Lepisosteus oculatus: one gene and its partner. The protein of the gene in region 1 binds, or shares a complex with, the protein of each later gene. Links are inferred from orthologs where the notes say so. Each region holds a gene or a part of one and is shown on either strand. Other genes may lie near its edges.

Region 1 (3,752 bases):
CCATAAGACCTGCTGGACAGTTGTATATCAAGGTTGACAACCTTGATATTAACTGAGCATTTAACTTATATGGGCTTCATTTTATTTTTACCATTTGTAATGTTCGTATTTAAAGGAACTCTTGTGACATGTTTTTATCTATTGAAAAGATGCGATTCCTCTATAACATCTAATAGCAAATAGAAAAGTATAACTAATGCTCATGATTATAATCACAGTGCCTTAGCAAAATATAAAGCATCCACAAATGTGTGCAGCATCATTCCTGTGTACTTCATAAAGGTCCAATTATCTTTAGATTAATACCCAATACAACATTTTTGCATCATATTTCTGAATGTATACACAGCTAGCTTGGCTTCTTTTACATAAAAAGCTTAGGCTTAATGTGTACAATCTATAGGCGTGTGACAGGATGTTGGTCATACATATGGCATAATGTAATCACTTTGGTCTTCTATTTCAACAAATTAATCTGTTATAACATCAAATCTCTCACTGGATATTTTGCCTTTATCCTTACAGATGGAGGTCATTTATTTCAAGATAATCTCTTCTGCTTCAACGCCTCAGTCAACACAATCAAAAATGTCTTGAGTCAAAAGCTATACGAGCTCCCATTTTAGTTTACAAGTTCTGTGCATTTTGTTATTTTTGTATGAGCTGACATTTACAAAACGGAATAATTATAAGTGTGGTTTTGCTCAAAGGTTATTAAACCCATAAATACCACAACAGCAGAACAACAAGAAACCTCTTATCATTGAGCTCAATTAGTCACTCTATAATATGTAAAGGGGGACAACCACAATTACATTTCAAGTGTAGCACAAAATCATACAGGAACAAGTTATGGAAATGGCATAAACAAATAGAAAGACTAATGACTGCTTCAATAAGATAACACATTAATCTTTGTTATATGCATTTCAAATGACTGTACCACATAAGCTCATTAAAATCAAGCCTTGATAGGTTTTCGTTCTAGAGTGGTATTTAGATAAGACTTGAAAGCAGGATGTCTAAAATGACACACCATTTATTTTAATCGTTTAAACGACATTCCACGTTGTATAAATAGCATGACTTCATTTTGCCTTTGAATACAAAACATACGGCACCTCATTTACTGCTACCAATAGGCAAGACGGACAGAAAGTCGAATTTAGCTTGCTAAACCAATTATTCCTACACCACGGCCTGAACTTTGAACCACGAGTGTTTGGTTTACGCAGATCGCTACATTTTCCTTGCCTGTTACACCCTTTTGCTTCATAGCGTTGCACAACCTCAACTTCAAGCTCAAAAGCAATATGTTACGCGTTCAGTTTTCAGACGGTGGCAGGTAATTTGACAAATATGGCACTGAGTTTTCGTCCAGCCCTAGACAATTACAAATCACAGCGGAAGGTGGTAATCAAAAGATGACCACGTACGCATATAATAAATAAAAAACACTAAAGGAAATGAATACATACGAAGGCTACATAGGTAATGAAGGAGCTATGTGCTGCATGTGCGCAGTATGTACCAGGCTTACCAATCGTGCTCGGTAGTCATTTTAGGGAAAAACAGAAATATACACCTTCAACGCTAAGTTGTTGCACCCTAGCAGGAAAAAAAAAAACACACAAAACAGAAATTGGAGACAAGATGTGACAGTCGTCTCTAAACAGCAGTAGCTGATACTCTGTTATCGGTTTGCTGTGGTTTATTTCACTCCAACAGCTGATTTGCAAATTCGCAACTGTAAGAAAAACAGCCATTTGGTATTGCATCGCCCAGAATCGTTAACTTATATGAATACATCAATCACAACACAGGAAAGTCCCAGCAGTGCACACTGCACCGTGTGCTGGATCCAATCTGACCAGCAGGCCTCAAGCAACCGGGCCTTAAGAAAAAAAAATGCTCTGCTTGTTTAAATCTCCGCACAAAGACAGCACAACTACAGACTGTTACTTTTTCCATCTAAATGATGCGAACACAAACCAGTTTATTCTCCAAAGTGAGGACTCACGGACATAGACCCGCTGCGCTGTTTTTCTTTTTACACCACACAATTTTCCTCTTTTCTCGCCTAAAAGAGCACACTGACAGGCCTGCAAGACGAGAGAGAGAGAGAGAGGGGAAAAAACTTCGCTGTTTGCATGAGATAGTAAATATTACTCTGCAACAAACCTTGCAAACACGACCCGTCTTCCTTGGTCTCCGAGTGTTTTGGAATCGCAGAAGCAAGTGAGGAGAATGGCAGGGGTTGATACCGCCCGGTTTTCCTTAATTTACTGCCCCTCCGTGATTATACTTTTAGTTTATTTCCTAGTTCTCCCTGCAGCTGGATGTAACTGTGCGAATTCTCAGTGCAGTGCTGTTTCTATTTCCGCTGTGATACCGAAAAGGCCGCTCTCTGCTGCCATCGCCCGCCCGCCAGTGTCATAGCAACAACACTGCGCAGCCACCGTGGGGTCTGCGCCGCCAGTCTCTAGTCGAAATGTTTCCTCATTCCTCGAGTACTACGAATGCCAGTATGACCCAGTCCAGCAAACCTTTATTGTTTGCAGGCAGTTGAGGATTTCGATATTTTATTGAACTGTTTAATAGGAAATTTCGAAAAAGAGCATTTATGTACAGTAAATGTATTGGTCATTCTGGGTGAATTTCACATTCATAAATCAAAACGGTCTAATAATACTCCCCTTTTTAGTACTTTTGAGGTGGAGTTGAAACACTAAATTCGATAAAAAAGGCTGAAGCAAGAAAACATTTGATATATGTAAAAAATACCATTTGATCACATAATTTACTTTACCTCCGGCAGTTCATTGTTTTTTTTTTCTGTTTGTGTTTTTTTCTCTTGTACCTGTTTCTGATCCTCTGGTTGTATTTGTAAATTCTTCATACGTTTAATACATTTGTTTAAATTTTTTTTGCATTTTTGTTTTTCATAGGAAACTTAAGATACGTCACTTCCCAAGGCTTTTGTACTTTATTCCGTACAGCAAGACCAGACAGAACGGGATTGGGGTGGAAATGTATTTTTAGAGAACAAGCACAACAAAACCAATGATCAACGATAGTTTTTTTTTTTTACCCTATCGGCGTATTCCCAAACAAGAGTTAATCGAACCATGTTACATACAGTATACAGTATGTAAAGAGACATGACAGAACTATATTGTATGAGAAGCAAATGAGGCCCTACAGTCAAGTAATTAGCATACAACCAGCTAGAAATGAGAAATATCACAGGCCAAAGAAACTTTGTGTAGTTAAATAAACCACCATGATAAGGTGGCTGACAAGAGAGGGAAAATTACTTTAGGCCAATGGGACATTTTTAACGGATTCTGTATTCCCATGTGAATTTTTAACTAGGTGATGATTTCAGTTTCAGAGAAGTATGGGGACAGCCACATATACCTTGTGTACATTAAGCCAACAGAGTGGATCGGTAGAGCTGTAAAGACCAGTAGCAAAACATGAAGAGTAGCTACAAATGGTGTTATTCACAGGAACAAGGTACAATTAGAAGAGCAGTGAGATATAAAACCCCACCCCCCTTTAATCACAAAGTCACAAAGTCACAAACTGTGTGGGACAGCACAGATGCTATCAGGTGCCCTGGCCTTCAGGAATGTGGCATCTAGTCAGACAACTCCAACATTTCACACCTCTCAGAAGCCCGAGAAACAGAGGGCCTGTCTCCCAATAATGCTCAATATGTTTACAGTTTATGTAAATATTTTCTGATA
Region 2 (3,752 bases), on another chromosome or scaffold:
TGTGTTATTTGGATGGTCTGTTTATTCAAGGTGTCTCTCATTTAATGACCTGCATTACAAGTTTACATACATATACAAAACATCTACTGAACCAGCACAGTAGCAGAAGCAGCTACAGCAAACAACTCAGCAAAATAAAAGGCCCATTATGTCCACAAGCCCTGCTACCCTGTACATGCTGTGAACCCATCATCTTCCCCCAATGAGATACAAAGCTAAACCAGTTACAGGGTTTCGTTTGTATTTGCAAGATCGCAGTACAGAGGAGGAAATCTTTTCTAAGCCTAGATCTATAAGTGATTTTTTTTTTGCAGTTCGTTACGGGATATTTATGCAAGCATGGAAAAGTGTTACTAGTAGATAAATACAGAAAACATTCCTCGACAGATAATTTAATTCGATTCTTGTTCAAAACGTTATTAAAGCAAGGCTACAGACCCCCGGGACCGGGAACAGCACTAACAAGGCAACACGAAGCTTCAAGTGCGGATTTTTAACGACGTCATCTAATTCTAGTAAAAACAGGGTCACAAAGTTCAATCGACAACTTTCTCTATTTCTGCAACATGCCGACTTCTCTAGCGTAGTATGCCAACTGCCATTTTTTACATCGTCGCAAGCGACACTTAAAAACACAACATCGTATTTTCTCATCATGCAACCCTCGCACGTCGAATCACCTTGGAGTCACGTCTTCACTCAAATGATCCTAGCAGTGTGGAGATCCGATTACTAAAATAAATGCGTGGCGATGAGGTTAACGTTTAGGGAAGAAACAAAGAAAATGCTCTTTAAAAACCTGAAATTCAAAACCAATTTAAAATATCAAGACATGACTTTAGATACACGGTGAATCGACACACAGGCAATTTTAGATTTAAGATTTAAATGTGTCTTATACTTTGCAACCAGTATCTATCAAGTTTAAAACTGGTTATTTCCCCCGGGCTCCTCTATATATGCGCACTGGGTACCCGCCTCCCATTCAACGACGATCGAAAACTGAACAGATTTTGCACACGTACAGTACAAGACTACGGAAGTAACGCTCTATTAAAGGAATAAAAACGATGCAAATGCGTTTCCGTTTCGCATCGGTCATATACAACGCATTTGCTTAACCTGAATTCGCTGAACGCATTGTTGCATTTCACTCAACGCAGGGAGCCATACCACGGCCGCTGTTCTGATTGGTAGCAACATCTAGATGTGTTTCGCCAACAACTCAGAGTATTCTGCATCGTAAACCTTTTCTCAACGATACTGAAAAGCCTCTACACGTAGTTTCCTTTAAAATCTGTCGAAATTTACCTGTTTGCGACTGAGCAAATCTTGTTTACCCCCAAAGCCCGCAATCCTTCTACACGACTGTGTCCTACGTCACGTATGCCTCAAGTACCCAGTGAAGTGTGTGCTACGTCATAAATAAGCGACGCTAGGTCGCCTGACATGCTAACAATATTAACCAATCAACACTTGGAGATTCGGTTATGATCCCGCCTTCTGCTGTTATTGACAGTCGAACTCACCTATTAGATGGTCAGTTCTCTCCTAAGACACCCTTCATGACCTATTAACGCAGTTTTTTAAGTGCCATGTTCTGCGATAAACCCAGGACTGGTCAGAAAAATCCAGATCCAAACTAGGCAGGCGTTTTTTTACGTTAGGTGTTACAAATTTGTGGATTTGTAAAGTAGATTGTTTTCAATTCACATTTCCAAACCTCTGCCTTCTAACAGTGTCTAAGGTGAGACGTGATTTTGAAAAATTTCTGTAAAAAGTGGGGTTTATGTTTTGCAAATCCTGAATTGCTTATTTGCCTTTTCTACACACTTATATTGTCAGTTTTTGCGTACAGCAAAGCAAAACTGATATTGTTTTTGGAAGAGTTCAGAGAGTTTCAAATATCTAGTTGTCTTATTTACCTGCATTTGTTAGTTAAGTAACCGAAGTCTTAAAAAAAAACAAATTGTATCAAATGATTGAATAACTGTTCCATAAGCATTCTTGATAAACACAGTCATATAGAATAAATACCTCTTTGTAAACATGTTTTCAGTATTGTCGTTAATGAAATCCTCGTAGTAATTGCCGTTGACAGATATCATTTAAACGAGAAAACCTATGGTAATGTGTCTATGGCCGGATGAGATGGGAGACTAGGTAATTTTTAATTTCCAGATTTCGAGAACGTTATCTAGTCAATCTAAGTTTAGTCACCTCTGCGCAATTACTGAACACGGTTCTGTGGAAGAAGAGCTCGCAGATGAACCGTAGTGCTCATTTCTCCTTTGCAAGTCTGGATCTGCTGGTGTTTCACCTGTTTTAAATTCATAGACTGCGCACCCTGCGTTTTTAGCAATTTGCTCTGGTGGCTGCGTCGTGTCGGGAGTGTTTTTACGCCGCGCATGTGATGCCTTCCTGGCTCTCCTAACGTTGTGTGGCGTTGGATGAGGGAGTACCTGGTTCCGTTGTTGAGCAGTCGCGGTGTGTAACTATGACATTTCATCTTAAGTTTAGCTTTCTTTTTGTAAAAGTAGTGATGCACCGTGTGGAAACGATTTCTCATTTGATCTTTAAAACGCCAAGAAAATCGGTTAATCGATTTTTTTCCCCTTAGTTACCTTTTCTCATAGCTGGTCATTTCTGCTTCAACCTCTATGGTGCCCCCTCCGCAATGTATCTTAGGCTGTCCCGAGTACAGCCAGTGATGTGGTCAAATTGCCCATATCTCTTCTAGTGCAAGAAACCAGTGACACGAGTAGACCTGCGTCTTTACGCGAGGTGTTTTTACGCGAATTCGTGTACAGGCGGTCAGTGACGGAGAAATAAAACGATGCGGGAGATTGTGCGAATTCACATGTGGCACTGCGCGCACCTGAGCTACACCCAGGAACTCGTTACCGAGCCTGTAGCGCACCGGTGCGGCGTCACCCTCGGTATGGCTCGGAAACCTGAAAACAGGTAGGAAGGGTAAAGGCGAGTCGTGAAAAGTGCCCGATTTGGAGTTAAGAATCGAGATTTTGAACAAGTTAAGCGGTGGGGTGACGCAGACCAGTCTGACGCGTGCTCTACGGCAGAAATCAATCCTTGATTCGTGCAGTTTGAGACAGAATGCAATTCGTGAGAGCTAGGCATCTCCTGTGTTCCCTGCATTGTATTATCAAATTTTATTTGACCTCTTCGGCATGCTGTACAGTATTGTATTTGCTGTATTGCTCTATCCGTGATACCATAAACCGCATGCATGCACATACTAATGCACTTGAGATTGATTGTCCTTGTTTCAGGGCGGGGAATAGGTCTAAGGGAGGGTGTTCTGATTATACGCTCTTTGTCAGGAACCTAACTTTACCTCGTAAGACACGAGTCCACTGTATTCCTCTTGCTGCGCGTTTCTTGTACAGGGCTGCGTTTATTTACAAACAGATCTCCCCATCTGGAATTGCTGATTTTTTTTTTAGCAACTTGGCTTTACAGCTCCAACCCTTGTACTACAGTAAAACCGAGGACCAGTGGAGATAATCCTGGAAGGTCCAGCATGCTTTACAGGAATGTCTGTACTAGCTGGCATGTCGCTTACTGAGGGTTGTGTGCTAAATTGCAGTCACGGTTAGCTAATGATGCAGCCCATGCTCGTATCCCGTGGCCGGCAGAGGAATCCTACTCCGTTGGGCCCCTGAGCAAGGCCCTTAACCTCAACTGCTCCAGGGGCGCTGTACAATGGCTGACCCTGTACTCTGACCACAGGC

The links.
Region 2: the proteins of cab39 (region 1) and strada are in contact, whole or in part, in a crystal structure (PDB 3GNI), measured with the Homo sapiens proteins. The link is inferred for Lepisosteus oculatus from reciprocal best matches to the Homo sapiens genes CAB39 and STRADA. Residues at the interface, in NP_001124321.1 of Homo sapiens: Leu26, Glu27, Lys28, Gln29, Tyr55, Gly56, Thr57, Asn58, Ala85, Asp86, Gln88, Leu89, Phe92, Glu93, Lys96, Arg107, Glu138, Leu141, Ile145, Ser176, Thr177, Phe178, Asp179, Ser182, Asp183, Glu221, Asn222, Tyr223, Val224, Arg227; in NP_001003787.1 of Homo sapiens: Pro64, Leu104, Glu105, Cys107, Ser108, Asn109, Val112, Gln116, Leu119, His120, Lys123, Leu124, Phe125, Asn126, Thr136, Phe137, Ile138, Asp140, Asn141, Leu143, Tyr185, Met189, His223, Gly224, Arg226, Val426, Asp427, Asp428, Trp429, Glu430.

The regions. Positions count from the first base shown.
Region 1 is NC_090708.1:8,183,466-8,187,217, reverse strand, and holds the start of cab39 (calcium-binding protein 39), read right to left. Parts: upstream 2,416-3,752; 5' UTR 2,182-2,415; intron 2,063-2,181; exon of another isoform or gene 1,993-2,062; intron 1-1,992. UniProt on the Homo sapiens protein: Component of a complex that binds and activates STK11/LKB1. In the complex, required to stabilize the interaction between CAB39/MO25 (CAB39/MO25alpha or CAB39L/MO25beta) and STK11/LKB1.
Region 2 is NC_090723.1:1,910,897-1,914,648, forward strand, and holds the start of strada (STE20-related kinase adapter protein alpha), read left to right. Parts: upstream 1-1,563; 5' UTR 1,564-1,747; intron 1,748-2,382; exon of another isoform or gene 2,383-2,487; intron 2,488-3,752. UniProt on the Homo sapiens protein: Pseudokinase which, in complex with CAB39/MO25 (CAB39/MO25alpha or CAB39L/MO25beta), binds to and activates STK11/LKB1.